7 linked regions of the Mus musculus genome follow. The protein of the gene in region 1 interacts with the protein of each later gene in a pairwise test. Links are inferred from orthologs where the notes say so. Each region holds a gene or a part of one and is shown on either strand. Other genes may lie near its edges. The genes, in order: Vapa, Apod, Adgrg7, Oprm1, Zbtb22, Adrb2 and Pgrmc2.

Region 1 (3,701 bases):
TAAGGTAAGTTCCAAGGGTGTGGGAGTAGAAGACATCGGCTGCTTATTTTGATTAGCTGCTGGTGTTTTATTGACATGTTCCAGTGAACATTGTCTGCAGGTGATCTTAGTTGCTACTTAATAAATCTTACAATTAGTTGAAACTTGTCATATTTTCATGACATTTTTAGAAGAGAAATATGTAGAACTTAGGTTTGTATTAGTTTAAAACCCATAAATTTTTTGTTAAAGATTCCCAATATCTTTGAAACACAGAATGATATGGAACCTAGCAAAGCTGTTCCACTGAATGCATCCAAACAAGACGGACCCCTGCCAAAACCACACAGTGTTTCACTCAATGATACGGAAACAAGGAAACTGATGGAAGAGTGCAAGCGACTCCAGGGAGAAATGATGAAGCTCTCAGAAGAAAACCGACACCTGAGAGTAAGTTTTTTGGGTTGAAAATGAGGTAATTGGAATGAAGGTATAAAGAATATGTTAGTATCTTTTAGCAATCTCTATGTTTATATTTAATCTTGTTGCCGGTTATTTTTTATTTATCTCGTTTGATCTTATAACTTAGAGCTAATTAGTGTAGGATTAAAGAAACGAGGTTTCTGAAAGCCTAGTAATGGAAATAAAATGGTCAGGTATATTTTAGTTAGTGTTAAGGGTTTTTATTTTTTTTTTTTTTTTTTTTTTTTTTTTTTTTTTGAGGAACTGGAGAGATGGCTCAGTGGTTAAGAGCACTTACTGCTCTTCTAGATGTCCGGAGTTCAATTCCCAGCAACCACATGGTGGTTCAAGAGCATCTATAATGGAATCCTATGCTCTCTTCTGGTGTGTCTGAAGACAGCAACAGTGTACTTAAATACATAAAATAAATCTTTTATGAAAAGATTTGTTTTTGACACTTGATAGGATTATTTCCCATTGGAAAGTGAAGATATCCCAAGTTGAAAATGCACCCAATACATAGACCTTTGACTGTCCTATCCTAGCTATCACATTAGCACTGCTAATTAGCAGCAGAGTGCTGGGCACCTTCTGAGAGGATCCCAGCACATGTCCCTAGCCCGGGGAAGACGAAGATTCACTGCACATTCCTAATGCCAAAAACAGTACATTAAACACTAGAGAGGCTGGCCATGCTGTGTAAGTGGTTGAGGAATGGTGTGAGGATAAAATAGTTTATTTTGAGGTAGTACAGATTCTCTAGTTAGGTTTTATAAACAGCATCTGATAACAGCCAGCCATATAGTTAAGAGGTATCTATAATTTCTCCAGGACCTTGTGACACATACTGTCACAAATAACCACCTGCTTTGAGAAACTATTGCTTTACTAGGAGAAGAAGCCAGGGCAAAGTCACATCTAAACTCAACCACAGGACTATCAGAAATGTAAACTCAGTATAAGTAGGGAGCAGTTCATTCTTTTACATGGAGCAGATAAGGTACTTAAACAAAAAGAAGCGATTGCCAGCAGGAGCCTCAGAGACGGGTTCCTGTACGTAGTCTAAATTACGTACAGTCTATGCTCCATGGTGACCCTTTATATATGTCCCTTGGGTTTGTTTTGCGCATATTAAAGACTCTAAACTACTCTGCTTTTCTCTAAATCTTGCAATATATTATCTATCTAAAAATAAATCCTTGTGTGCCTCCCATGTGGGTTTTCAGGTTTTACTGAGTCAGTAAACATGGAGTATAGGTGTGCTATTGATAGTTTCTTGCTGATGGCTGGAGTATAGGTGTGCTATTGATAGTTTCTTGCTGTTGGCTGGAGTATAAGTGTGCTATTGATAGTTTCTTGCTGATGGCTGTAGCCAATCCAAAATGCTGTAGGGCTCATTGGAAGTAAGCTTACATGTTTTATAGGAATACATTTCTCATTTTCAGTTTTAAAAGTCATTGTTATTGAGGTGTAATTTACATCACATAAATGTACTAATTTTAATTGTTTTAGCAGATTTATAGAATTATTCGGCTTTATTTATCGCTTTAGTACAGTTTTAGAATTTTTCCTAATTCCACAGGTTTCCAAGGTAGATGGGAATTTATTCTTGCTCCTCTTCAAAGCCATACACATGTACTGAATTCCTTTATGAACTTTTAGCTCTGCTACTCACCTGTGTGTGCTGTTTAAAAATCTTTGTTTTGTGTCTTTTCCCTAGGATGAAGGCCTAAGGCTCAGAAAGGTAGCACATTCGGATAAACCTGGATCCACCTCAGCCGTGTCCTTCAGAGATAATGTCACCAGTCCTCTTCCTTCTCTTCTGGTTGTAATTGCAGCCATTTTCATTGGATTCTTTCTAGGGAAATTCATCTTGTAGAGTGAAGCATGCAGAGTGCTGTTTCTTTTTTTTTTTTTTTTCTTCTCTCGACCAGAAAAAGATTTGTTTACCTACCATTTCATTGGTAGTATGGCCCGCGGTGACCATGGCCCGCGGTGACCAATTTTTTTTGTGTGTACAGCGTCATATAGGCTTTGCCTTTAATGATCTCTTACGGTTAGAAAACACAATAAAAACAAACTGTTCGGCTACTGGACAAATTGTATATTATCAGATCATCACTAGCAGATGTCAGTTGCACATTCAGTCCTTTATGAAATTCATAAATAAAGAATTGTTCTTTCTTTGTGGTTTTAATAAGAGTTCAAGAATTGTTCAGTCTTGTAAATGTTATTTTAATAATTCCTTTAAATTTTATCTGTTGCTGTTACCTCTTGAAATATGATTTATTTAGATTGCTAATCCCACTCATTCAGGAAATGCCAAGAGGTTTTCTGTGGGGGAAATGGTGCCTCTTACTGTGTAAATTTTCTCCTTTACCTTTGCTAATATCATGGCAGAATTTTTCTTATCCCTTGTGAGGCAGTTTGTTGACTGAGTTTTTCATCCTTACAATCCTGTCCCATGGTATTTAACATAAAAAAAATAAAACTGTTAACAGATTCTTGCTCGATAGCTTGTTTGTGTCTGTCATGTCATTTGTGCTGGGTTGGGCGTAGGGTCAGAGTGGGATGAGCCAGCATGTTCACTCTGCAGTGAACTTTATTGGACTTAATTGATTTGTTTGTTTGCTTTGGTTTGGTTTTTCGAGACAGGTTTTCTCTTTGTAGCCTTGGCAGTCCTGGAACTCACTCTGTAGACCAGGCTGGCCCTGAACTCAGAAATCCGCCTGCCTCTGCCTTCTGAGCACCAGGATTAAAGGCGTGCGCCGCTGCCACCCACCCAGTGGGCTGTATAATGTGTACTGTTACCTTGTATGAAACTCTTTCCAGTCCTTGATTATTTGTAATTTAAAGTCTTGAGACTGTTTTAAGAAATGACAAGATTTCAAGCCAACGTAGGTATTTTGGAACATCTTAATTGAGTTTATGAAATGTAAAGGTGCTGTGATCCTCATGAGTTTTGTGTGTGCCAGCTGCCTGTATTGTCTTCAGGGTCTCCAGGCTTGTTTTTGTTTGTTTGTTTGTTTTTAAAAACTGTCTTTTCAAGGAAGGCTTAATTCTCCTGTATTCTAAATACTCAGTGTACTAAATAGTTCTACTTTTTAATGTATTTAACAGCTGAAAAGAATTGGTTTTTTTCTGTTTTAGAAAATTAGTATTACTTTGCAAACCTTGGGTATTTACTTTTTGAAAAACAAACTAAGGTTAGTTGTGTGAAAATTACAAAACAAACACCTGTTACAAATGTACTGATGCTT
Region 2 (3,500 bases), on another chromosome or scaffold:
CTGGTTAAAGCTTATGGCTCATCACAGTAGCAACAGAAAGCCCATACAATAAGCTTTTCCTTGTTACATCAAAGGCAGCTTAAGCATATATCTCACTTCAGACCTGACTCTTTGCTCTTTATTCTTTTTTTTTTCCCCCAAGACAGGGTTTCTCTGTGTAGCCCTGGCTGTCCTGGAACTCACTCTGTAGACCAAGCTGGCCTCAAACTCAGAGATCCGCCTGCCTCTGCCTCCCAAGTGCTGGGATTAAAGGCGTGTACCACCACTGCCTGGCTGCTCTTTATTCTTTAAAAAAAATTTTTTTTTAATTTATTTACTTTACATCCCAATCACAGCCCCTCTCCTTCCTCTCTGTCCCGTCCTGCCTTCTTTCTCCTTTTCCTCCCTCCCCCTCTCTAAGGAGAAGGGAGAGTACCCACCACCAACCTACCCTGGCACATCAAGTCTCATCACTGAGGCCAGACAAGGCATCTCAGCTAGGGAAAGGGAGCCAAAGGCAGGCAACAGAGTTCAAGACAGAGACAGCCTCTCCACCCCTAATTCAACCCCTGACACTATTAATGTTCTTTATTCTTTAGATAACCTTTGAGATAATTGCATATAACTTTTTAACAGGAGGTGTATAAGATGTCATCAGAGAGATACACTATCATGTATTTCCCCAACTCCTCTCTAGATTGTTTCCTGCCTTTTATTGTTACAGACAGACCTGCAACAAATAACCTTATACTTACACACCATTTCTTTACAACAGGAGAACATTCCCAGAAATCAAATTGCTGGCCTAAGAGAACGTGTATTTTTAGTTTTGCTCAATATTTCCAAACTGCCCTCTGCGGAGGTTATGGATTGGTACAGTAACTAACTCCAAACAGAAGTGCCCCACAGTCAGCATGTCTGAGTTACACAAAAGTCAAAATGCCCCGTAGAGTTATCAGCTGTTGGAGGGAGAAGGTATTCTCCATCGACCACACAAACCTTTCCTTTCACAGAGGCTGGAATTTCACACGAGTTCTGACTAAAGAGAACTCTGAGAACATATCCAAATAACGAGCCCCTTAGGAATAGAACGTGACATACAATCATTGCCCGCACATCCGCATCATTTATTCTCATTTGAAACAGTATCTTGCCTAGTTGTCTGGGAATGATGCTGCAGTCCATTTGGCCTGGTTTCCCCTGGAAAGGGCTCTGCTTCTAAGGCAACAATGGAGACGAGTCAGCAAGGTCCCTAGAGAGCCCTTGGGTTTTGCCTCTGCTTGTTGTTGTCTGTGCAGTATCTTGGAAGATGGTACGAAATTGAGAAGATCCCAGCGAGCTTTGAGAAAGGAAACTGCATTCAAGCCAACTACTCGCTGATGGAGAACGGAAACATCGAAGTGCTAAACAAGGAGCTGAGGTGAGTGCGCATGCCTGCCCGGATGGCCTTGTTTTGTGCTCCCAGCAGGCAGGGGCACGGAGAGGGTGTGAGCTACTCAAACTAGGCAGGATGATCCGGATGCATGTGTTCCCTTTAACCACTGCTGAGCACCTACTGAATACCAGACACTGAGAGAGGCAATAGCGAGTCGAGAATACCAGTCAGCGCCCCTGCTCTCTTTCTAAGATGGAGACTCTTGTAGCCTGGCCTCTAAACTGAGAGAGAAACCCTTTCTGTCCATCTACTCACAGAGAGCATCAAGTTTTGCCAAATACTTCTGTGAACTGGGGGCTCAACCTGTCCCGTGGCAATTTGTTCACCTCCAGCCAGCTTCCCTGTTAGGAACCCCGCCCCCTTCTTTTCTTTTTTCTTTTTTTTTTTTTTTAAATATTTATTTATTTATTATATGTAAGTACACTGCAGCTGTCTTCAGACACACCAGTCAGATCTCCTTAAGGATGGTTGTGAGCCACCATGTGGTTGCTGGGACTTGAACTCAGGACCTTCAGAAGAGCAGTCGGGTGCTCTTACCCGCTGAGCCATCTCACCAGCCCCCCTTCTTTTCTTATTTTGAGACAGGATCGTGTGTAGCCCAGGCTGGCTTCCAACATACTGTATAGCCAAGGTCCTGGGATTTCTTTTGTTTGTTTGTTTGTTTTTGTTTTTTTGAGACAGGGTTTCTCTGTAGCCCTGGTGGTCCTGGAACTCACTCTATAGACCAGGCTGGCCTCGAACTCAGAAATCCCCCTGCCTTTGCCTCCCAAGTGCTGGGATTAAAGGTGTGCGCCACCACTTCCTGGCGGTCCTGGAATTTCTGATCCTCCTCAGTGCCCGGATGACAAATGTGCACCACCCTGCCTTGTTGTGTAGTACTGATGGTTGAACCCAGAGCTTTTTTGCATACTAAGCAAGTCTCTACCAAATGAAACACATTGCCAGGCCCAGTCACCTTCTCTCTTTTTTTTTTTTTTTGGCTAAGCAAGCATCAGGTACCCGAACAGATACATGTACTCTCTAGCTTATGTCAACAGGATCTCTTTTGGAAGTTCGCACTTCTGTCACTAGGTACATTGGCAGTCGATCCATATCTGTACACTCTGGAGAACAGACTTAGACTCAGGATGAGGTCCTACTTGCTTAGCCTCTACCAACAAAGCTTGCAGCACCAACGACCGCATCTAAGTAATTCCTATATGCAAGGCACTCGCTACCCCTGTACTTGGGCCTCCCTGAAAATGTATTTACCTAATCCCCATGATGTAGCAAAAGTAGATACTATTATAAACCTCATGGGCGAGAAAACGTTGGTATGGACAAAGAGGTTAAGCAGCTTGTTCAAGGGCCATATAACTGATACAGCATGAAGCCTAGATTTGAACCCAGGAGAGGGGAAATGGGGAGACCTGCTAAGGAACTGGATTTTAGCGCCTCCCTCACCGCCAATCATACAACACTAACCTACCCGACTGCCTCACACATACTTTGGTCTCATGGTTGCCCTGCTTGAGGACCAATGGGCAGGCAGCTCCTTTGCCACCTCTGGAAGAGTAGTATTCTGATGTCTAGGCACATCCCTTCTCTGTCCTCTTCTCTGAGGCTTTGCCTGTCCTGTGTTCATGGATAAATGAGAAGAGAGAGAAAGAGAGAGAAAGAGAGAGAGAGAGAGAGAGAGAGAGAGAGAGAGAGAGAGAGAGACTTGCTCCTGCATATGGTGGAGGAGAAAGTTTATTGTAGATAAAAGGAAGACCATAGCCAGAGGCAGAGACATAGAGACATGTAGGAGAGTCCATTGTGGATATGAGCCTGAGCCCTGTAAGGAGGGAAGGGAGAAGAGATAGAAGGGAACCAGAGGTGGGTTAACCAAAATGACTGTATTATATAAGGAAGGGCAGCTGGGGAAAGGGCCCTTCTCCCCGGGCTAGGGAAGTTTGGGTAAGGGGCAGGGTATGCCTGCCAGGACTCTAGAACTGATAGAGACTGAGGGACGCTGGGAGAACCTGGAGGCCAAGTTCCCTTTGATATGTTAAGTAGGCACCTCAGCCTTTTGTCCCAGGTTTGAGACCTAACAATGGGATTTTTG
Region 3 (4,900 bases), on another chromosome or scaffold:
TGGGGGACTTTTGGATAGCACTGGAAATGTAAATGAGGAAAATACCTAATAAAAATTTTTTTAAAGGAATTGTAAGGTATAGAAAAATTAAGTATAAAAACTAATTAATATTCACTCTGTGGCCAGATAAAATTTTTTCAAAACAGAAGTTGGAAAATTTCCATTTCTTCTGTGTTTTTTTTTCCTTTAAACAGTCTTATTCTGCTCAGTGTGGCCTTGAACTCCATCGATCCCGAGCCTCAGCCTTCTGAATGTTACTGAAACTGTGAAATGGAAGGTTTTTTCTTCTGTTTTTCACAAATAAGTTATCACTTTTTGTGAAAAATACATTGTTTGTTGAAATGAATTTTGAATATAGTAAATTAACTTGGACATAACTTAATGTATATGTGCTTATGTGCTTTTTCCTAAATAACTTATTTATAGTTAGCCAGGAGTGTGGGGTCATGCCTGAAAACCCAGCACAATGAGTATGATGTCATCTGGGATACAAATTGTGAGTTCCAGGACAATGCAAACTCTAAAATAAGATCTTAAAAACAAGCAAAAAAGGCTTTCACAGATAGATCAATGTCTCTGAGATATGCATGAACTGTGTATCTAAAATTTTTTTAAATTTAAAGATAACTTATAAGTAAGTAAGGAAACAACGAGAAGATATTCCATAATGACATTAGTAGAACGAAGGGAGATGTGCAGGAAAGAGGTGAAATACCCAGAAGAAGTTAACTAAAAGGAAGGAAGTGGAATAGAACGGAATAAAGCAGATACAAACAGAACTAAATAAAGATAAACAGCTAAAGCACACCCCAAATAGAATTTACAAGGCACAGACACAGCAAACAGCAAAAAGTGTCAGTCTTCATCCTTTCTATTTGTTAGTGATAGTGACGACCGTCTAATTTTCTGTTGGCTTTACCCTAAAGCTGAGGAATATCCCTTATGTAAAGAGCTCTGATAAACTAACACCAGGTGCAAAGCTAGACTTTCTGAGGAGCTGATATGTTACACTCTGAGAAGCAGAACTTTTAATACACTTTACTTCCTTCAAAGGCCTCCAGCAGCTTGGAGGTGTGCCCACACTTAAGCAGTTCTCCTCCAGCAGCTTGGAGGTGTGCCCACACTTAAGCAGTCCCCCTACGCCTTTGACTAACTTGCACTTTCTGTCCTCTCTTCAATATTGTTCCTCATGTTGGATTTGTACTTTGTCCTTGTAATGGTTGGATTTAATGGTGTCATTTCTAAGTCACATGTTTCCCTTTGAAAACAGAAATCATTATGAATGCAACAAGAAGGAAGACATTTCTCAAACGTACATCCTTTAAAGGAGATCTTACAAGTTTAATGCGCGTAACAGTGAGAGAGACTCTTTACAGTTTTTCCTTAAACCTGAAAGTGTTTTTACAAACGTTAATGTTTTTAATGTTATTCTTTTGTCCTGTTTAATTTCTTACTCAAGTTCTCTAAATGTTGACAACACAGTATTCTCTGAATTCTATTCTTTTTGGGTAATGTAGGAATGGCTCCATTCTATGCTACCTCTCCTGTACCAGCCCATATCAAACATTTGTTCTCAGCATGGGATTCTGCAACCTGGCACCATTGCAGGGCAGTTCTCTGCCTTCCTTGAGGGCAGACTTCTCCTTAATGGTACTAGTCACCTCTAGTCACTCAGTTCCACATGTTCTACAAATCATCTTGAATCCCTTTCTAGCAGTGGTTCTCAACCTTCTCAACACTGCAACCCTTTAATCCAGTTTCTCCTGTTGTGGTGACCCCAAGCCATAAATTATTCCATTGCTACTTCATAACTGAATGTCGCTACTGTTGTGAATTGAAATGTTGTCAGACATTCTTAAGTGCCCATGAAAGGGTCATTTGCCACCCAAAGGGGTCACAACACACAGATTGAAAACCAGTGCTTTATAAGGAATCTCCAGAGGCAAAGGGGTGCAGTGTTAGAATCATTAAACATGTATTTTTGCGGTCTCAGGGGCTTTACTTTAACACCATCACTTTACATGTGACCCTGCTTCTGTCCGTACTTCCTCCATGAGGTCTGGAACACAGCAAGAAACTTACAAACACGTGTGGAGCCAGCAGGAAAATAACCTTTAAATTCATTTTAATTTTTTCATCTTTAACTAATTTTCTACACCTGCAAAATGGGAAACTTGAACGTAAACCTAAGTTCATTTCACCACTCTGGTGCTACGGTCTCTAAGCTTCCTTCTTGAGATGAATTTCTATTCTGTACATGGTTTTTGGGGGGAGTCCGAGTTCACAACTATTTACCTTTATAGGATTTAGCTCAGTAAACCCAAATACACATTGTTATACTTTCTATTGTTCTTCATTCTATCAACTCCAAAATTAAAATAGTGCAAAGAAGCCAATTCAAAACTCACTCTTCACCCTGCTTATTCACAAAACACACACACACACACACACACACACACACACACACACATACACACACACACACGTTCTATGTATAAAGCTGTCCACTGGTCATCAACGGACTGCGGTCTTACAATTCTTAAGTTGTGTTGTGGAAGGCAGGCATCTCCTGGACAAGGCACTTCCCTGGCACTGAAATATCAGGTAGCAGAGTCAGAGAATCAATGCCATCCCCCAACACCCACTCTCTGTCTCAGTAGATTATAGCAGGGTGACATTACCTCTGTTGATCCTTATGACCATCCTCCAGATGCCGAGTCCCAGAACAATGCCTGTCAGTAGCCCACACACAATAGCCACCAGTACCCGGACATTGCAGGAACGACAGGAACGCATGGTGAAGCCAAAACACTGCACGAACAGAGATAGTTATAAAACATGAAAAGAATTCTTCCCTTCAGTGGTCTGTCTGACAGGTGATCTCATGGTTTAAGAGTTTTGAAGTTAATTCAGAGTAATGAAGTTGGAATCACCAAAGAGAAGGTGGGTTTCTGCGTGCAGTATGCTCATTCTTCACCGAGGGAGATCAAGAGACAAGGGTTCTCAGAAAAGGAAACTAACTCAGGGCAATAAAGGAGGGGCGGGATTAGCCTTGAGGGTCAAGGAAGGAGGCAAGCTATCAGAACCCAAAGAGGAAGCCAGGAAGGCAGTGGATCCCTCTGGTTATCTACAGATCAGTCTCCTGTACTTTGGTCTTAAGGGACTTCAGCAAGTGCTTCAGGATAGTCAAACACCCTCTTGGATAGGGAAACATTGTTGTCAAGGAAAGGACAAACTGCAATAGCCACATAAGATTTCACTCTTGCATTTCCTTAAGGAGCCTAAATTCTAACAGTCACAATTGGTGATTGAGTATATTGACTTGGGAAGAATTATACAAAGCACTAAAACAGAGTTATAATTCATCTATTATGAATTACATTATGTGCCCACGTTCATGTGTTAGAGTCTTAACCCAAAGCACCCACAATGCAGCCTTGATTAAAGATAAGTTTGAACTCAGGACCTCTGGAAGAGCAGTCAGTGCTCTTAACCACTGAGCCGTTTCTCCAGTCCAGTTGGTGTCTTTATAAGAGATAATCTGGGCACCAATGTGCACAGAGGAGCAATGTCTAAGGAAATAAAGGGACAATACAACCAAATGGCAAAGAACTACAGCAAAAAGCTTAGATTATAGTCTTCCTCCAGAGTCCTAGGAACCAACTACAATGACATCTTGGTTTAAAACAGTAATTCTCAACTTGTGGGTCCTGACCCCTTTGTGGGGGGTGGGGTGGGTGGGGTGTCAACTGACCCTTTCACAGGGATTGCATATCAGATATCCTGCATATCAGCTTTTTACAGTACAATTCATAACAGTAGTAAAACTACAGTTATGAAGTAGCAATGAAAAACTTTTATAGTTGGAGGTCACCACACCATATACATTCCTGTTCTTTAAGCCACAAAGTTTGTAGTACTTTTTCACAGCAATCTAATCACAAACTGCTGTTTCTCTGAAGTTGCAGCTGTGACCCTGGGGATCCCGCCTTACTCTTCCCTGCCCCTCCCTAGTCTCGAATGAAGGTGCTAATGAGCACCCATGTGGTTGAAGTGCAGGTTCGGGTGGATGAATCAGTGGAAGGTTCCTCTGCTCATCTAAGACCCAGGATGATAAAGTGCCTTCAATTGTGTCAGGACCCTCACAGGCAGGAACAAGCTCTCAAGCACTCCCGCTGCCCCAGGGTGAAAAACCAGGGTGTAACTCGTGATAAGACAGATCAGATTTGTTAATGATAACAAAACAAGGTGCTACAGAGTACTCTTCTGGGAGTATTAGACATAGATTTATAAAATAAATTTTACATCTAAACTGATCATCTGTTTACCCCTCAAAATGATGTGTTATTCCCCAATTCTCAATAATACTTCCTAAAGTACAACTCAGGGGGGATATTAACATAAAGTTCTAATTTTACCTTATCCTAGAGCTTCAGAAAAACACATTAATATGTCACAAAATGAAAGAGTTTAAAGACTGCTACAGAAGAAAAAAAACAAATAAATCTATGTTCATTGTCTGTTGTGAATATGTGATATTTATTCTTATGTGTCTTTATTATCTACCCAAAACGGCAAGAGTAGGGTACATAAAAAATTATTCGTGGAAGTCCAAAGGATTTAGGTACAAGGAATTTAAAAACCATTATACCTTTTCTGTGGTAAGTATTTTTCAATTAGTATAACTTATTGTACATATTATGTTTTTCAATATTAAAAATAGCAATGTTCCATAAACTAGGAAGATGAATTAAGCAGAAAACCAGCACAGTGCTTTATACATTTCATATCTTTGCCTCATTTATTTCATAACACAATGCCTTTCCCAGTGCAGAAACAAGGATGAGGTTAGAGATGACTTCAAGATGAATTAAGGAATTTTAAGCAATACTAGTTGTAT
Region 4 (4,198 bases), on another chromosome or scaffold:
CATCTGTAAGCAACAACCTAGGCAAAGGAGGCAAAGGTGCAATTTTAAAACCTGATGATATAACTAAATGTCGCTGCTAATTTTTCTTGAAACTTCTTTCCTTCCAGGGTCCATAGATTGCACCCTCACGTTCTCTCATCCCACATGGTACTGGGAGAACCTGCTCAAAATCTGTGTCTTCATCTTCGCCTTCATCATGCCGGTCCTCATCATCACTGTGTGTTATGGACTGATGATCTTACGACTCAAGAGTGTCCGCATGCTGTCGGGCTCCAAAGAAAAGGACAGGAACCTGCGCAGGATCACCCGGATGGTGCTGGTGGTCGTGGCTGTATTTATTGTCTGCTGGACCCCCATCCACATCTATGTCATCATCAAAGCACTGATCACGATTCCAGAAACCACTTTCCAGACTGTTTCCTGGCACTTCTGCATTGCCTTGGGTTACACAAACAGCTGCCTGAACCCAGTTCTTTATGCGTTCCTGGATGAAAACTTCAAACGATGTTTTAGAGAGTTCTGCATCCCAACTTCCTCCACAATCGAACAGCAAAACTCTGCTCGAATCCGTCAAAACACTAGGGAACACCCCTCCACGGCTAATACAGTGGATCGAACTAACCACCAGGTATGTGCTTTCTAGAATTATGTATAACATATAAAAACACAGCACCTGATACCAGTCTAAGATTTAGATCCTTAAGGAGGTCGGTTACTGGAGAATCCAGGCCAAGCCTAAAAATAGAGAGGGAGTAGGGGACCAAATTCTGATCATAGTGTTAGGAAGATGTGCCATAGAAATATGCTTGATGTATGTGTGTAAGTTCATTTAGATGTTTGGTAAGTAACTGTTGTGTCCGGCCAGCAGACCACAACCTGGGTTCTAGCCTGGAAAGGCATTTTGGAAACCTGGAAGAGAAGAGGGGCTAGGTGGCGAGAGAAAGGAATGTAGCCAAGACAGTTACTCTGATCAAGGCTCAAATTTTATTGTTGCGACACTAGTTATGAAGGAAGGGGGAGGGGACCCGATTCCCGCCGAATAATCTCTGGTCCAGTAGAAAGGTGCACGTGTGTGGCTCCGCAGGTTCTAGCAGTGGGCGTGGCAGAACGAATGAGCAGGAAGCTCCACCCCTGAGCAAGCAGGTTTCAGGCTGGGGGAGGGGAGACTATAAGTAACAATATATTATGCTGCTGAAAGTTACTATCCTCAGAGCCTTGTCTCCTTTGCAAAATAAATGGCTTTAGTACATTTTAGAAATAATCTCACTTTGGAGTCTTGATTCACACAGCAACTTTCTATAATCCAAAATATCTTGCTAATATCCCTATTATTTAAAAGCAAACCCCACCCCAAATCTGTAAAGAACATTGTCCAATGTGGTCATAGGTACAAGATATTCCCAAGCGAGAAAAAAGTGTATATATGTATATGTTAATATATATGTGTTATATATATATATGTTATTATGAGTGACCATATATATACATGTATGTATGTATACACACACACATATATGCTGTACTTGTACATGTTTTATATGTGTGTATATATATAAATATGTATATATATATACATATATATATATTTGATAGGCCATCTCTAATATTTATTAAGGCTTTGTTTTGTAGATTCTGGAGTCTGAACACTAGAGCAAATGCCAGCATATTACCTAACTACTATATTAAAATTAATTTTAAACACTCTCCATACTATTTGGAAATGATTTAGACTAATTAGAAGTTTAGACATGTATTACTATGCCCAGGAGAGTCCCAAGAAGATCCAAGATTCAATCACAGTTGTGTAACCACACAAGAAATGAACAAAGAGGGGGAGATCTCTTACCCGTAAAACTGCCTAATTGGTCACATTGCAATAATTCGACACCTTTCCTAAATCTCAGTGCATATATGATTTAATTATTCATATTGGTTTAAATAAATATTCCAAAATCCTTCCCACACCTAAAAATCACTGTGAATATAATTTTGTAGTAACACAGAGTCGAAACTCAACCCTCCTTTGAGTAAATAAATGATACTTGGGCTAAACTCTGCGTTGTCAAGTGGCAAGGCTAGGAGGAGTCACATAAAAAGGATTCACTACCAAGTCCTGCAGAGGAGCAGCCAGAGGGAGGCCTTGGCCACCATGGTGCTAGCTGTCTCTCCACCACAGCCCTCTCTCACTGTTCTGTTTATCCTCAACTGTGACTAGCCAGCATAGCCTACATTCAATCTGTCTAACTGACCTCAGATTTATGTAATACAACCTAGATGAATCTGCCTCAGAAGACGTGAATGCTCATACCCAAATGGGAAGTGTGCCTAATGCAATACATGTGACCAGCACCCTTAGAGAACATGGTGGTAATGGTGGCAGATTCATTCCCAACTCAAAGGCAATTATTAACAAATTTATCTCCCTGCTTCCAGCTCAGAAATCAAAGCCAGGCAAAAATGGGTTTCTCTGCTGCTTCCTCCCCATGCCCCACTCGTTGTTATCCACATCGAGACACATAAGCCTTTCCTTTTTCTAGGCAGCTCTCTTTTTTTTTTTTTTTTTTAAGGGGCTTTCAAACTCTTGCCCATCACTTTGAAAGAGTAAGGATTTAAATTTTTTTTTCCTTTTTTCTCCAACCCATTTTAGATAATGAAATTTGAAGCTATCTACCCTAAACTGAGCTTCAAATCTTGGGCATTGAAATATTTTACTTTCATTAGAGAAAAGAAAAGGAACACAAAAGCTGGGGCTCTTCCTCCCCTCCCTACGTGTCATGCTGGATCTCCCTCCCAGGCTCACAGGGGCGTGGCTGCTTGGTTGCTTCCTCTAAGACACATGGGGCCTTCTTATCCTTCCTGACCCACCTGACCTTCCTCTAATGGAAGCAGAGCCCCAAGCTCTCTATTCCAGCACATCCCTGTTTTAAACATAGCTGCCCTTCAGATTCTCTAACGCTGCCTTCGACTCCCTTCCACACCCAGTGTTTGCATGTCAGTGTGGATCTTGCACAGCCAGAGAGTAGAAGGGAAGATAATTGGAGAAGCTCTGTCCTAAGTAACTAAAAGGTTTGCTTTAAAAATACATCCAATTAGCACTTATCATTATCACTGCCTCTGCGGAGCAGCGTCAGCATCAGATAACAGAAAAGCACATTAGCCTGGAACTGGTGGCCTCCCAAAGGCCCAGCTGGGAGAGCTAGACCAAGAAGAGAAGCAGAAAGAAGCAGAAAAGATGCCCTGACATAATTGAAAATGAACAGAAATCAAAGATCCTATTCACCCATCTCCACTGATGTGTCTTCCTTTGGGGTTAAGGTGGTCAGATGAGAATGGCTGGCTGGAGCGACAGTAAAGCCTGTGGTGGTCATTCCTGGCATCTATTCTAATCAGATCTGAAGGAAGAGTCAGGCTACATGGCTCTGCCAATGGGAATCATTGGGATTACCTCAGAGTGAGAATCTAACTAGCAGGTGGTGTGTTACTGTAGGTTTCATGTTTATTCGTTCCTTTGTTTAGAATATGAGCCATCCTTTTAGGAAACAAGGCTAACTGGATTAGAGTGATTGAAAGTTTTTAGTTAGAAGTATTAGAAGTTTGTCCCGGTTATCAATGTTTATGTTCTGTCTCTTTATGTTTTCATCTATATCTATATCTATATCTATATCTATATCTATATCTATATCTATATCTATATCTATATCTATATCTATATCTATATCTATATCTATATCTATATCTATATCTATATCTATATCTATATCTATATCTATATCATCTATATCTATATCTATGACTAAATCTATACCTATACACACATATATATATGTATATATATATGTATATACATATATATATATATATATACACACACATTTGTCATATTCCATATGTCACACATCAAGCACATTAGTCAACTTCCTACCTTGCAGATCAGAGATGCAATGTCCAACCTCTCCAGGGTGTCTGTATTCTGACAGATGGACACTGAGGCCATGTCCACACAGCACAGAGTGAAGTGACAATGTGACGGTTGGCAAGGTAAATAGATAAGCCATACATACCAGAAAGTTCTATACCCAGAATGCATCCAGAGTCCCATAGTCCAGTAAAAGCATCTCATTAAGGATTTTTCCTACAAGCCTAGAGGGTAGAAACAACCATTATGCAGGCTACAGCTGTAGGATATGTCAGTAAAAGT
Region 5 (4,678 bases), about 32 Mb from region 1:
TTGGAATTCTGGGAACTTTTCAGGAGAGCATATAAATGGCAGAGCCTCCCCACCTTCCAGGAAGCATGGTTGGTGGTAGTACAGGGGTTGGTTGTGGTTTGTTAGTAGTCTTGCTCAAAGAACAAACAGGAAGAGAGACATTAGAATCAGAGATCCTGTCTCTCCTGTCTATCCTTTCTTTTCTATCTAGTGATGGGGGCGGATAAAGGGGAGGAAAAAGAACACACAAAGTCTCAAAGACTGGCTGTGTGTGTGTGTGTGTGTGTGTGTGTGTGTGTGTGTGTGTTTAGGTTTAACCCCATCAACCAGGAGGCAGAGGCATACAGGTCTCTCTAACTTCAAGGCCACAGTCTAGTCTACCCAGTGACAGTCAAGGTTACATAGTGAGACCATGTAAAACAAAACAAAAAAGACTTATTTTATGTAAATAGGTGTTTTGTTGGCATGCATACCTATGTGCTACATTTGTGTCTGGTGCTCATGGAGGCCAGAAGAGGGCGTCTGATCCTATAGATCTGGAGTCACGGAGAAGGCAGAGAGCCGCCATGTGAGACTGGATACAACACTCGGGTCTTCTGCAAAGCAGCTGCGTGCTTAGTGGCTGAGCCATCTTCCAGCCTTCCATCCTGCTTTGTTTTGTTTCTGAGACAAGGTCTTTCTATGTAGCCCTGACTGTCCCAGAACTCTGTATGTAGTAGATCAGGCTGGCCCCAAACTCGGATATCAGCCCGCCTCTGCCTCTTGAGTGTTCGGACTAAAGGCGTGAGCCGCCATGCCTGGCTCACCCTTCTTTCTCCTCTGACTTGTCTGCAGACCAGTGTGGCCACACAGTGCGACCCGGAGGAGATCATCGTGCTTTCAGACTCTGATTAGCAGGCCCCATGCTCCCCGTGCTCCCTGCATCCAGAAGGTTTTTTGTATGGCTGTTGGAAGATGATGGAGTAAAAGATGGACAGAGCTCCTCCCGTTTTGATGGTGTTTCTTTTGACAAAAAAAAAAAATCAAAATGTTTTAAGTTTTACACAGACACATTAATAAACAATGAATTTCTTTTTATTGTATTCTTTCCTTTACTTTGCCTTTTCTCTTGTGACAGCTGTCACCTGGATCTGCCTTTTCTATCCTGGCTCTCTTTTTAGGGCGTCCTCATCCTTAACCCTTCCTTGAGCCTTCTTCCCCTAGGCACTTTTAAAGATAAGTGCTTCGGAAGCCTTCTTAAGCAGCTTTCCTCTCTCGTTTTGAGCGGTCTGAGTGAAAAGGCCAATCAGGGGCTGACTCAAGGTGATTTGGCCAATCCAGGCCTGGAGGAGGGGGGCGGGGCTTGGGGGGTTCTCATATGCTGGGAAAAGGGCTGTTAGATCCCGCGAGCAAGCTAACGTCCAGAGCTCGGGGTGGAGCCTGGGAAGCGGAAGCCAGCACTGGTCAATGAGACAAGGTAGGCTTGTCGGATTAAAGGGGAACGAAGGTTTCGGCCAAACCAATTCCTGAGTCCTCAGCCGCAGACGGGACCTGGTACCTTTAAGGCGGAATGAAGCGCCGGTTCTTTAAAGGAAAAGTGTCGCTGTCGGTCGACTTTTGCCCAGCGGCACAGGAGGGGTGCTGGCCTGCGCCTTTAAGGTCGCAGGTCCGGGAGGCGGAGTGGAGGCGGAAGGCGGAGGGAGTCGGCACAAGATGGCGGCGGGAGGGGCTGGGGCTGCGGCTCTGGTCGCGGAGTGAGGGGGGGGGCCCGGGGGCGCGCGGCCAGGTAAGCGGGGGCGCGCGGGGCTGGGGGCCCCCCTCAGGCTGGGGAACAGTCCGAGGGCGCGATTGGGGAGGACTGGGGGGCGGGGTTCGGGGGCGGGGGCAAACACGAGGCGGGGTCGGGGATCCAGGGGGCGGAGCCCTGGAGGGTCCTGAAGGGGCGGGGTCGGGATCAACTGGGGGCTCTAGGGGGAGGAGCTTGAGAACTGTGGAGAACACCCCTTCACCCCAAGAAAATCGGTACGCAACACCAAGGAGGGGGCGTTCTTTTGAGAGTGAAGCCGTAGACTAGGATAGACGCCCCTTCCCTGAGAGCCCCCTATTTCCTGACCCAGGAGCGAGAGTACTAAACTTGGAATACTTTCTTTGCTAGCGCTGCGGTTTGGTGGTGTTTGATTGGATGTTTTACTTAATAGTGAGCCTCAGTTGCCCCGTCTGTACCATGGGGTTGACAGGGGTACCTGTTTTTTTTTTTTAAATACTGTGATGGCTTAAAATCAGTGATGCTTTCAAAATGCTGTTATTCTTTTTTTTTTTTTTTCCCTAGAGACCCCCCCGGCCGCCCTCTTCTTTCCTTTGTTCCTGTGGCTGGGGGGGTATCTCCTTCCACAGCATGGAGCCGTCTGCTCTGTCACCCAGTGGGGCCACACTCCCACTGCCTCTGTCACTGGCTCCACCGCCACTGCCTCTGCCGGCAGCTGCAGTGGTACACGTGTCCTTCCCTGAGGTGACCAGTGCCCTCCTGGAATCCCTCAACCAGCAGCGGCTCCAGGGTCAGCTCTGTGATGTGTCCATCCGCGTGCAGGGACGGGAGTTCCGCGCTCACAGGGCCGTCTTGGCTGCCTCCTCTCCTTACTTCCACGACCAGGTCCTACTGAAAGGCATGACTTCCATTTCCCTGCCAAGCGTCATGGACCCAGGCGCTTTTGAGACTGTCCTGGCCTCAGCTTACACGGGCCGCCTCAGCATGGCTGCTGCGGACATTGTCAACTTCCTCACAGTGGGGTCGGTCCTCCAGATGTGGCACATTGTGGATAAGTGCACTGAACTCCTTCGGGAGGGTCGATCCGCAGCCACTACAACCACTGTCACTACTGCTGCAGCCCCCTCTGTCTCTGTCCCTTGTGCCAGTGTCCCATCAGGGAATGGGGGCACTGTCGCCCCTGCCACCGTAGGCTCTGTCCGTTCCCATACCTCCAGCAGGGCCAGTGAGAATCAGTCTCCCAGCAGTAGCAACTACTTCAGCCCCCGGGAGTCGACTGATTTCTCCTCTACCTCCCAGGATGCATTTGTGGCCTCAGCAGCAGGTAGTGGGAACCGTCGGGATGGTGGCCCGGTGTTCCCAGCCCCTGTGGTTGGCAGTGCGGGTACCACCTCCGGGAAGTTGCTGCTGGAGGCCGATGAGCTATGCGATGACGGTGGGGATGGGAGAGGGGCCGTGGCCCCCGGGGCTGGGCTCCGGAGGTCTAACTGCATGCCTGCCAGTGCAGTGCCACAGAAACACTGGGTGTATGTGAAGCAAGCTAGAAATTGCCCTGCACCAGCCTCCCTGGTCCACCAAGACCCCGATCTAGAAGATGAGGAAGAGGAGGAAGATCTGGTGTTGACTTGTGAGGATGATGAGGATGAAGAAATGGGAGGCGGCTCTGGGGTTCCTGCAGGGGGAGAGCCCGAGGCTACCCTCAGTATCAGTGATGTTCGGACCTTGACCGAGCCTGCAGACAAGGGGGAAGAGCAGGTCAACTTCTGTGAATCCTCCAATGACTTTGGCCCCTATGAGGGTGGGGGCGCTGGGGCAGGGCTTGATGACCCCGGAGGACCCACCCCTTCCTCCTATGCCCTCACCCACCCTCCACGACCCCTCCTTCCATTGGATGTGCCGGGCAACCAGATCTTGGTTTTCCCATCCTCCTCTTCACAGGCTCCAGGCCAGCCACCAGGGAACACAGCTGAGCACGGGGCAGTGACCCTCGGGGGCACCTCTGCGGTGGGGCTGGGCATACCAAGTGGCTCTGGTGGGGCTCCTGGAGGGACAGGCAACAGCGACGGGAATAAGATCTTTCTGTGCCACTGTGGGAAGGCTTTCTCACATAAGAGCATGCGGGACCGGCACGTGAATATGCATCTCAACCTGCGACCCTTTGACTGCCCCGTGTGCAACAAAAAGTTCAAGATGAAACACCACCTGACCGAGCACATGAAGACACACACGGGCCTCAAGCCGTACGAATGCAGTGTCTGCGCCAAGAAGTTCATGTGGCGGGACAGTTTCATGCGTCACCGGGGACACTGTGAGCGTCGGCACCGGATGGGTGTGGGTGGGGTCGGATCTGGACCGGGTCCTGGACCTGGACCCGGGACACCTTCTGGGCCAGCATTGCAACCCAAGAGGGAGTCTTCCACAGTGGGTGGGGGCAGTGGCGATGAGGCAAATTCGGCCACGCCCCCGTCCCATAGGCGTGTCTGGTCCCCACCCAGCGTGCACAAAGTGGAGATGGATTTCAGTGGGGGTGGAGGTGCAGCACACTGAAGAGCAGGCAATTGGGGAGCTTAGTCTAAGAGCAATGGCTCCCGGGGTTTCCCCCACCAAACAGTCTTCCCTTACCTCGGTGGACTTGTATATATTCTAGAGAAGGGCGTGGGTTGCACCGTCGCCAGCCCGTTCCATTCCTCAGCCCCTTCCTCGAGATCTCTGGAACTAAGCTGTGTTTTTGCTTTTCCCCTGAGCACACCAGAGCCCCACCTTCACGGAGTAGTGCCAACAAGGTGGGGGAATGGAAAAGGGACCTTTTGAGCATCCTAGAGTCACAGAGCCAACAGTCAGGTTGTGCTAGTTTGTGCCTGAAGTCTGTGTTTGTGTTGTGGGACAAGGCCTTTGAGTCTTAACGATTGTCCTTTCTCCTCTTGAAGGATACGCCCCTTATTTCTGTACTACCCC
Region 6 (4,748 bases), on another chromosome or scaffold:
ATCTACAAAGTATGTTTGCTTACTCCGTGTGAAAGACTTTCAGTCTATCAAACATAATACATGTGAAATCAAACCTTGAAAATTAATTTTTTCCCAACAGTCAAGACATTTGCCAGCTGCAGAGATTAGCATTTCATGAAATCTTAGTCTTGTTCTGAATTTTTTTAATGGGAAGGAACAACTATCCTCAACTATCCTTTTTTTTCTGTAGTTTTAAAATGAACTCCACAAAACATGTTTTTAATATAGGGAATTATATGAAATTGTGGGGTGGGCAGCGAGGTTAAAGGCAGAAATAGCCCAATGGTGGCACATTCACTGACACAGCCTAAAAGATTAGCAAATTACCCAGCCAACACATACAATTAATACAATTAATATTTTTATAGTTAAAACAGAGTTACTAAAGAAATTGTTTGAAAAGAAAATTATGAAGACTGGAAAGACGGCTCAGTGCTTAAGAGCTTTGGCTAGTCTTCCAGAGAACCAGGGTTCAATTCCCAGCACTCACAAAGGCAGCTTGTGAGCTGATACTATCTGTATATTCAGTCCTAGGGAATCTGATGCTTTGTCCTGACCTCCAAAACAGGCACAAATGTGGTGCACAGACAAATGTAGAGATAAGACTCCCATGCACAGAACATAAATAATGTAGTTTAATTTTTTAAATTGTAAAACTGAAAATGGTTGCACTTGCATTTTTATTTTCAGCACATCCCCAGATATCCGCCATATAACAAGAAAATGATGCCACACTCCCAAGAATTAAGAATTACACCTTCCCAACCCTACCCAAATGTGTATACTTCTAGGTCTAAAGAAATGCGAAGGATGAAGTTACTGCCTTGGTGCGGTTCTCAAGGAGGGAGGATGCCAAAAAAATATTTTTTCACAAAGTGTGCTGAGAAACTCTGTAGCTGTTGGAGTCATCTCCTGTGCTCTTGCCAAATAACTGAAAGGGGATACACTGGATGTCTGTGAATGGGGTGTCACTTATGAGTGCTAGAAGCGGGTGGTACCTGGATGTGGACACCGGTGTCTGAGTGGTCCGCACTCCATGTCTCCACAGGAGCGCTTATGTGTGTTTCTTTCCTCCTGCTTCTGGGTGTTCCTGGGTTTGTTTACAGCCACCTCTCTGTTGGACCAGGAGACAGCTGTCATCTCCAGAATGAGCGGGCGCGGGTGTGTCTCCGTGGCTGTGGCTGTGGTTCGGCATAAGTCTGAGCATGTCCTGGTCGTCAGGGTGCGTTTGTGCCTGTGTGTGCGTGTCCGGGTGAGCTTGCTCTTTCTGTTCCTAAAAGAAAACGCACCCTGCGCTACTGGCGTCCAGAGACCTCTCAGCCCGCACAGGTGACCTGAACGGACAGGTAGCACCTCCAGACAGCGCCTGGTTGGCGGGTTGCACAGCAGCCCTAGATTTCTCTCTCTGGTGCCCCAGCTAGGGTAGCTGGAAGGGAGCGGTGGCCTGGCCTCCGGGGAGCCGCTGGGCCCCGCCCGGGCTAACCCCAGGAGGAGGCGGGCTAGGCTGGGAGGGTTGGCCCTTGGTGCCTCGCCCCTCCGGGCATCCGGCCGTGCCATTGGCCCAAAGTTGTTGCACGTCACTGGGCAATTCCCCTAAAGTCTGGTGCACATAACGGGCAGGGCGCACTGCAAGGCTGCTTCTCAGGCATTCAGGCTGCGGCTGCAGGCACCGCGAGCCCGGAGCACCCACGAGCTGAGTGTGCAGGACGCACCCCAGCACAGCCACCTACGGCCGCTGAATGAAGCTTCCAGGAGTCCGCCCCCGGCCGGCTGCGCCCCGTCGGAGGTGCACCCGCTGAGAGCGCCTGGGCACCGAAAGCCGGTGCGCTCACCTGCTAACCTGCCAGCCATGGGGCCACACGGGAACGACAGCGACTTCTTGCTGGCACCCAACGGAAGCCGAGCGCCAGACCACGACGTCACTCAGGAACGGGACGAAGCGTGGGTTGTGGGCATGGCCATCCTCATGTCGGTTATCGTCCTGGCCATCGTGTTTGGCAACGTGCTGGTCATCACAGCCATTGCCAAGTTCGAGCGACTACAAACCGTCACCAACTACTTCATAATCTCCTTGGCGTGTGCTGATCTAGTCATGGGCCTAGCGGTGGTGCCGTTTGGGGCCAGTCACATCCTTATGAAAATGTGGAATTTTGGCAACTTCTGGTGCGAGTTCTGGACTTCCATTGATGTGTTGTGCGTCACAGCCAGCATCGAGACCCTGTGCGTGATTGCAGTGGATCGCTATGTTGCTATCACATCGCCCTTCAAGTACCAGAGCCTGCTGACCAAGAATAAGGCCCGAGTGGTCATCCTGATGGTATGGATTGTATCTGGCCTTACCTCCTTTTTGCCTATCCAGATGCACTGGTACCGTGCCACCCACAAGAAAGCTATCGATTGTTACACCGAGGAGACTTGCTGTGACTTCTTCACGAACCAGGCCTACGCCATCGCGTCCTCGATTGTGTCTTTCTACGTGCCCCTGGTGGTGATGGTCTTTGTCTATTCCCGGGTCTTCCAGGTGGCCAAAAGGCAGCTGCAGAAGATAGACAAATCTGAAGGAAGATTCCACGCCCAAAACCTCAGCCAGGTGGAGCAGGATGGGCGGAGCGGCCACGGACTCCGAAGGTCCTCCAAGTTCTGCTTGAAAGAGCACAAAGCCCTCAAGACTTTAGGCATCATCATGGGCACATTCACCCTCTGCTGGCTGCCCTTCTTCATTGTCAATATCGTGCACGTTATCAGGGACAACCTCATCCCTAAGGAAGTTTACATCCTCCTTAACTGGTTGGGCTACGTCAACTCTGCCTTCAATCCTCTTATCTACTGTCGGAGTCCAGATTTCAGGATTGCCTTTCAAGAGCTTCTGTGCCTTCGCAGGTCTTCTTCGAAAACCTATGGGAACGGCTACTCTAGCAATAGCAACGGCAGAACGGACTACACAGGGGAGCCAAACACTTGTCAGCTGGGGCAGGAGAGAGAACAGGAACTGCTGTGTGAGGATCCCCCAGGCATGGAAGGCTTTGTGAACTGTCAAGGTACTGTGCCTAGCCTTAGCGTTGACTCCCAAGGAAGGAACTGTAGTACAAATGACTCGCCACTGTAATACAGGCTTTCTACTCTCTAAGACCCCTCCTTGACAGGACACTAACCAGACTATTTAACTTGAGTGTAATAACTTTAGAATAAAATTGTATAGAGATTTGCAGAAGGGGAGGCACATCCTTCTGCCTTTTTTTAAATTTTATTTTATTTTTTAAGCTGCAAACAAGAGAGAGAAACTGTATTTGAGTGCTTATTGTTTTCTTGTATAGTTCAGTTCCTCTTTGTATGGAACTTAAAGGTTTCTGTCTGAAGAGTGTTGGTTCTGGAGGACTGAGTCTGTCTGTCTGTCTGTCTGGATGATGTTTTCATGTATCTACCTCACTGGTCAAGTATTAAGAATGATATATATTGCTGCTGGAAATCCATATCTAAAGGAGAGAGTTTTCTTCCTGTACCCTTGGACTTGAAATATCCTGTGTCTTGGACCTTTCTGCTGTGACAATGGGCCCTTTCTCTCTCACTCCACTTATTTACTCAAATGGAGTGTTGCAGGCAGGGATTTGAGGGACAACATCAGTTGTTTTGTTTTTGTTTTTGTTTTTGTTTTTTTGTTTGTTTGGTTCGTTTTTGGTTTGTTGTTGTTTTTTGGGGTTTTGTTTTTGTTTTTGTTTTTTTGGGTTTTTTTTTTTTTTTTGCTGAGAAAAGTCTAAAGTTTACAGTAAATAAATTGTTTAACCATGACTTCATTGCACCCGTTTCTTCAAAACCTCTTGACTCTGGAGTGTCCTTGTCTCTCCCACTGGAAACCACAGGTAAACTATGTGTCGTGACCGATGAGTGGCTTAATGTGTAAGAGTACCAGAATGGCATGCACCGTGCCTAGCCCTTCCGTGTGTGTCTTCGGAGCTCCAGATGCAAACCTGTGCCTTCCCTAACTTCACTCGTGTCCCAAAGCAGTCCTGCCTGTTCACAGCATAACCCAGTATGTCCTACAGTTGCTCTTCTGTGCTGTCACTCCAGAAACCCTGACTCACGGAAACAGAGTTATGGGCATATGTTTTTGTCCCCATATGCTCCTGACACCCACCTTCCAGCCTTACTTGCTTAATAACTGTGTATATTTACATCACTGCCGTCTCTTACAGTAGTGCCCTTTGTACTGCATCAGGGCTTGGTGTGTTCAGGATGAGGAAGATGTTCTGTGTAATAGCTGTTCAAGCATCTAGAAATTCTGAGGGAAATCAAAGGCCTCGGTCAGAGAGAGAGAGAGAGCAAAGCTTTAAAAAACATAGCTGGTGAATGCTTCACGCCCTTCAGCCTCTCCTCGCTCCCGTCTGCTGTCCCGTGTCTTCTGTTCCCCAATTCTCTGCACTTCTGTGTAAACCAGGCTTCCCCATGTCTGGCATTCCCGTGCATTATATGATATTTGGCGGCAGCTCTGTACCCAGTAAATTCTGGTAGCACCCCCCCTCAAGTTTACAAATAATTGCCAAGAACAACTTCAGCCGCGTAGCACCCCCCCTCAAGTTTACAAATAATTGCCAAGAACAACTTCAGCCGCGACCTCTTACCCCTAAGGGTAAAGTACTGCTTAGTAGAAAGCCTGCTGTAGACTTTGCAAACCTAAATCATTACTACAAAGGTTCTATTTTTGACACCTAGGAGAGGGGTTTTTCCCAGTT
Region 7 (4,680 bases), on another chromosome or scaffold:
TGGTCACTTACTAATTCTCAATTAAAGACAACAGCTCTGACTCAAAAAAAAAAAAATTCTCAGACTGGGATTGGCAAAATATAGCTTACAGGCTGTTTCTATACCTACTCAGGGGCTGAACCGACTTTAACGTTAAGTGATTTAAAAGTCATAATGATGGGCAAGGGAATGTGCTTGCTGGTATGCAAGTTCATGGCCATCTTCATCTACATATCAAGTGCAAAGCCAATCTGGAACACACTGAACCGTCTCAAAAACAAAAAGACGGTATTTCATGACAAATTCAAATTTCGGTGTCTCTAAGTACATTTTTAATAGAAACACTATCATGCTCATTCTCTATTATTTATGTAACAGTTGGGACAGAGAGACCTTATGGCCCACAGCACCTAAATATATAATCCATTACAGAAAAAAATTTCAGCACCTTCCCCCCCCCCCCCCCCAAAAAAAAGCCACGATGAGTCTTATGTACAATGGCTGGTTTCCCATCCTTTCGAGTGTTAAAACCTCTCTAGGGAAGTTATGATCACCAGTACCGTTAGTGGGTAGGGCTCTCCTGTCCATTGACACTAAAGACAGTTACCTAAAAACTAATAGCAGCCAGAAAAGCCCATCCCTACTTTTCTATACTGTTCACGCCAAAGCCTGAGTCAGCTCCTTTCTGAGTCAGCTCCTTTATGCCGGGTAGCTCACCCCTAGGCTGCCACCATTCGTCTATACCTGTCCCCCACCCCCGGTTGTTCAAAGTTATAAGGAACTGGCCATTCCCTGGATGCATCTTCCTTCCTCACAAGCAGAGTGACAGAAGCCTGTCAAACTAGCTGAGGGCGCGAGATGGGTGGAATTCACACTGGAAAGCACTCTCGCAGGCCCCGAGCAAGGCTATGGAGCTAGAGCCACAGGCTGCTTTATCCGCGCACGCCCACCGCCGGGGAGCAAAGCGCAGAAGAGCTTGCGTCCGACTCCTGTTAGGAGCACTGCCCAAAAGCAGCGTGGGCCGGGACCCGAGTGTCCGGCGCTGCTAGGGCTAGTGCCCGAAGCCCAGCTTCACACGCGGCCCCGCAGCTCACGCTCTATTGCGGCCTCCGCCGTGCGTCGTCACAGACGCGAACCAGCCGTCTCAGAGAGAAGCCGCTTCTGGGCGCACGCGCGCGCAGCAGGGAGGGGTTGCTAAAAAGAGCCCAGCGCGTGGCGTCCCAGGGCCCGCGCACGCGCCCTGACGGCGCTCCGCCCATACGCGCGAGTACGCACGCGCACAGCCGGCTCGGCCCACCCCCCCCCCGCCCCACGCACACTCTATTTTTCTTCAGCCCCGCCCTTCCCTTACACTCCCCAGGCTGAAAGCGTTGGGGCTGTGAGAGCAGGGAAGTGTGGGGCGAGGTGGGCGGGGCGTTGCCCGCGCGCGCTGCCAGCCAGAGCCCGAGCTGCGAGAGCGAAGCCAGACAACGTTACCCAGCCAACAGCCAATAAGCAGCCGGCGCTGCCACGCCCCAGCCCCTCACGTGATTGGCTGAGCGCCGCCTGGTGGGCAGGGCCGCGGGCTTGGGGAGGGCAGGGGGCGGGAGGAGGAAGGCGCTGGCGGGCAGTGATGGCGGCGGGTGATGGGGACGTAAAGCTAAGCACCCTGGGGAGCGGCGGGGAGAGTGGCGGCGACGGGAGCCCGGGTGGCGCCGGAGCGACGGCGGCGAGGAGCAGTTGGGTGGCGGCGCTGCTGGCGACGGGCGGGGAGATGCTGCTGAACGTGGCGCTGGTGGCGCTGGTGCTGCTGGGGGCCTACCGGCTGTGGGTGCGCTGGGGGCGGCGTGGTCTGTGCTCGGGACCCGGGGCGGGCGAGGAGAGCCCGGCCGCCACGCTGCCGCGCATGAAGAAGCGGGACTTCAGCCTGGAGCAGCTGCGCCAGTACGACGGGGCGCGCACGCCGCGCATCCTGCTCGCGGTCAATGGGAAAGTCTTCGACGTGACCAAAGGCAGCAAGTTCTACGGCCCCGGTGAGGAGTGAGGGGTGTCGGGGTGGGGATCCGGGACACCCTATCCCCGCCGCGGCCCCGCTCCTGGACCGCAGCCCCGCGCACGCCCCCAGCTGCGGGCGTCGTGGGGGGCTCAGTGGCGCCCCACAGACCTGCGCTCGGCGTTCCTTGCCTTTCCCAATCCGTATCTCCTCGCAGCTTTTCCTGGGGCTGAAATTCTCAAAATTGTTAAGAGTTGTCTCTAGTCACGTTGGCGTTCAACCTTTCCTCGGAGCGTTTTGATTTCTGGGCTTTGTCGGGGCAAGAGGGCTAAAGTGGCGATCCAAAGTTTTTGGCCCAGTGTTAAGACAGCTTTCTTCTTATTCTGGGTTGTCTGTTTGACACTTGCCTACTTTTTCCCTTCTCCGGACTTGTCTGCCGAGAGTCAGGGCTAGGGACACGTAGTTTCAAGTCCCAAGCCCTGGAGCTCGGTTTCACAACCACCCCGGACTCGTTTTCATTCTTTTTCTAAAAAGTCGGTTTGGGCTCCAAGATGCTTTCCAAGATTAACAACTGTATGTAAAATGAGGACGGACCAGAACGTAAACCTTAATAAGTAAGACTGGCAAAGATATTGGCCCTGAGTGTAGGGGGTGGAGCTCATCTGCCCAGGAGGCAGGCGTGTCTCTTGTCTCCGACTCTCTCAGTCTCTCCCTCCTTCCCTCCTCTCCTTCTTTCTCTGCTAATAGTAAAATAAGTATTCAAATACCCGTTGAAAATAAATTATTGTATTTTCCCTTAGCAGAATGAGACGCCTTGGGGGGGTGAGGGGGGGCACGAACCTAGAAGCGTCGAACTTCTCGCCCCCTGCCCTGCATGTGCTGAAGGTTTTACAACTTTACTTTCAGAAAATTACGTGGAAGGTAGTTGCCGTTAGAGGCCCTTTTGCAGTGTAGTGGTAATCTATATTGCAGATTGTGCAAATAAACTTCAGACCCCGGGTATCTGTTGGTAGCCCATAAAATTGAACAACATTGTGCGGCCTGGTTATGCAGTGCTTAATATTAAACTTTAAAGACAGAAGGGGAGGGGGAGGAGAAGAGAGAGCGTGAGTTGTAAGAATGAAGCTAGAGACCAAAGTGACCCCTTATTGGAAGGTATGCATCCAACTTTTAAGCTAGGTTTCCTTTTAATTTCCTTATTGCCCCTGATTGATTTATTGACACTGAAGACGCTTCTAATTTCTATGCTCAGTTGGATGCTATTTTAGGAGTGTTTTGGTTTGTTGATTGGATTAGAGCTAAGAAACACAAATAAGCATTTGATGTTGGATCTGTTAATCTCTTTGTGTGTGTGTGTGTGTGTGTGTGTGTGTGTGTGTGTGTGTATTTCCTTCTGGATATATAAACACAAAAATCATGTCTCCTTACTTACATCAGCTCCCATGGTTAGTACTTTTTTATTTTTTTAATTTAAGAGCATGTGGAACAAGAGAATAGGACCCAAGTACCTTGTTTACATGGACCAAGTCAAATAAACTTTTAAAAGTGAAGAATTTGCACAGATTTTGTACCAAGTTACACACTTCCCTCATTGGATTGAAGTGTGTTCAGTGGTTAAAGATTGTCTAGAGTATTTGTAAAAAGACCCATTATCAGTCCTTATACATCCGGAAAGAGTCAGTTTGGCAGTCTCCATGGCAACCGCAGCAGAGGTTGAAAACTAAGAGGTGTGCTGTAGAGTGGGTCCCTGGGCTTGAGCACTGATAATAGTGAAGAACCATCCTGGAGGCCTTGGAGTGAGGCAAGCAGGCCTCTGTAAGGTCTCTGCCTTTTGGGGCTGCATAGTGAGACCCGTCTGAAAACAAGAAGAACAGAGAACCACCTCCTTGTTCTTTTATTACTGGTATCAGTAAACAATCTAATAGGACTATCTGGAAGGTTTTATTATTCGGACAAACTTAAATGGAGCCAGAACATCTCGTGATCTTACTTTGTTTTTCAGGGATAGGAAGTATTGAGGTACTTTCCAGGGGACTTGATGCCATATGTTTTGCTAGGATATAAATGTAAATTTTAAATTTGCCTGTAACTTTCATTTTATCCTCAAATAAATGCAGTAATTTTGTGGTGTTACAATTCAGCCTACAGCTCTCCTTACCTGAGAATCTTAGTAATTTGAAAAACTCAGCCAAGAGCTAGCAGGCTTACTGTTTTCTCCAACCACTGTGTATTCCATTCTGCAATGATAGGTTTTAGGATTAAGGTTTGTTCTGTGAGGGTTTTTTTTTTTTTTCTCCATAATACTGGACACATTCTCTTACAGCTGTGTATCTTTAAAGTTCCAGTTCTTAAAATTAAAATGGCAATATTTTAAATGTAGTTCATTGCCGACTGCTTGCCAGAACGCATTGACTTTGTTGTTAGTATAGTATTTTATACTCTAATAGTCAGGTACTTGGCCAGCTTGGAAAGATAGTGTGATCATGTAGGAAACTGCAGTTCCTAAGCATCTAATGATCTAATGAATGGGTTGGATCATGCATTTGTCATTTCTGCAAAGTATTTGCCTTACACATGAGTCTGAGGTTTAAGTAAGCTGGCTTGGATCACATAAATAAATCTGGGAAATCCAGATATGTTTGACCACAAAGTTTATATACTTTGTGGTAGAGAGCTTCAGGGCTGAACTTACAGAGAATCCTGTTACTGGTCTTGTCTTTTTACCCCTT

What was found.
Region 2: the proteins of Vapa (region 1) and Apod interact in binary tests that used the Homo sapiens proteins (3 or more experiments, as listed by UniProt). The two-hybrid records come from large-scale screens. The link is inferred for Mus musculus from reciprocal best matches to the Homo sapiens genes VAPA and APOD.
Region 3: the proteins of Vapa (region 1) and Adgrg7 interact in binary tests that used the Homo sapiens proteins (3 or more experiments, as listed by UniProt). The two-hybrid records come from large-scale screens. The link is inferred for Mus musculus from reciprocal best matches to the Homo sapiens genes VAPA and ADGRG7.
Region 4: the proteins of Vapa (region 1) and Oprm1 interact in binary tests that used the Homo sapiens proteins (3 or more experiments, as listed by UniProt). The link is inferred for Mus musculus from reciprocal best matches to the Homo sapiens genes VAPA and OPRM1.
Region 5: the proteins of Vapa (region 1) and Zbtb22 interact in binary tests that used the Homo sapiens proteins (3 or more experiments, as listed by UniProt). The two-hybrid records come from large-scale screens. The link is inferred for Mus musculus from reciprocal best matches to the Homo sapiens genes VAPA and ZBTB22.
Region 6: the proteins of Vapa (region 1) and Adrb2 interact in a protein complementation assay, tested with the Homo sapiens proteins (2 studies listed by BioGRID and IntAct, with this or other methods). The link is inferred for Mus musculus from reciprocal best matches to the Homo sapiens genes VAPA and ADRB2.
Region 7: the proteins of Vapa (region 1) and Pgrmc2 interact in binary tests that used the Homo sapiens proteins (3 or more experiments, as listed by UniProt). The link is inferred for Mus musculus from reciprocal best matches to the Homo sapiens genes VAPA and PGRMC2.

The regions. Positions count from the first base shown.
Region 1 is NC_000083.6:65,579,308-65,583,008, reverse strand, and holds the end of Vapa (vesicle-associated membrane protein-associated protein A), read left to right. Parts: intron 1-255; coding exon 256-429; intron 430-2,161; coding exon 2,162-2,320; 3' UTR 2,321-2,956; downstream 2,957-3,701. UniProt on the Homo sapiens protein: Endoplasmic reticulum (ER)-anchored protein that mediates the formation of contact sites between the ER and endosomes via interaction with FFAT motif-containing proteins such as STARD3 or WDR44.
Region 2 is NC_000082.6:31,301,309-31,304,808, reverse strand, and holds part of Apod (apolipoprotein D precursor), read left to right. Parts: intron 1-1,277; coding exon 1,278-1,399; intron 1,400-3,500. UniProt on the Homo sapiens protein: APOD occurs in the macromolecular complex with lecithin-cholesterol acyltransferase. It is probably involved in the transport and binding of bilin. Appears to be able to transport a variety of ligands in a number of different contexts.
Region 3 is NC_000082.6:56,792,866-56,797,765, forward strand, and holds the start of Adgrg7 (adhesion G-protein coupled receptor G7 precursor), read right to left. Parts: upstream 2,994-4,900; 5' UTR 2,797-2,993; coding exon 2,682-2,796; intron 1-2,681. UniProt on the Homo sapiens protein: Orphan receptor.
Region 4 is NC_000076.6:6,829,870-6,834,067, forward strand, and holds part of Oprm1 (mu-type opioid receptor), read left to right. Parts: intron 1-107; coding exon 108-628; coding exon of another isoform or gene 629-643; exon of another isoform or gene 644-770; intron 771-2,647; coding exon of another isoform or gene 2,648-2,860; exon of another isoform or gene 2,861-3,599; intron 3,600-4,198. UniProt on the Homo sapiens protein: Receptor for endogenous opioids such as beta-endorphin and endomorphin. Receptor for natural and synthetic opioids including morphine, heroin, DAMGO, fentanyl, etorphine, buprenorphin and methadone.
Region 5 is NC_000083.6:33,914,530-33,919,207, forward strand, and holds the start of Zbtb22 (zinc finger and BTB domain-containing protein 22), read left to right. Parts: upstream 1-1,646; 5' UTR 1,647-1,744; intron 1,745-2,287; 5' UTR 2,288-2,353; coding exon 2,354-4,270; 3' UTR 4,271-4,678. Other genes in the region: Daxx (death domain-associated protein 6), read left to right, coding at 814-873. UniProt on the Homo sapiens protein: May be involved in transcriptional regulation.
Region 6 is NC_000084.6:62,176,875-62,181,622, reverse strand, and holds Adrb2 (beta-2 adrenergic receptor), read left to right. Parts: upstream 1-1,641; 5' UTR 1,642-1,870; coding exon 1,871-3,127; 3' UTR 3,128-3,910; downstream 3,911-4,748. Other genes in the region: Gm9949 (uncharacterized protein LOC225609), read right to left, coding at 1,020-1,578. UniProt on the Homo sapiens protein: Beta-adrenergic receptors mediate the catecholamine-induced activation of adenylate cyclase through the action of G proteins. The beta-2-adrenergic receptor binds epinephrine with an approximately 30-fold greater affinity than it does norepinephrine.
Region 7 is NC_000069.6:41,079,906-41,084,585, reverse strand, and holds the start of Pgrmc2 (membrane-associated progesterone receptor component 2), read left to right. Parts: upstream 1-1,539; 5' UTR 1,540-1,591; coding exon 1,592-1,991; intron 1,992-4,680. UniProt on the Homo sapiens protein: Required for the maintenance of uterine histoarchitecture and normal female reproductive lifespan. May serve as a universal non-classical progesterone receptor in the uterus.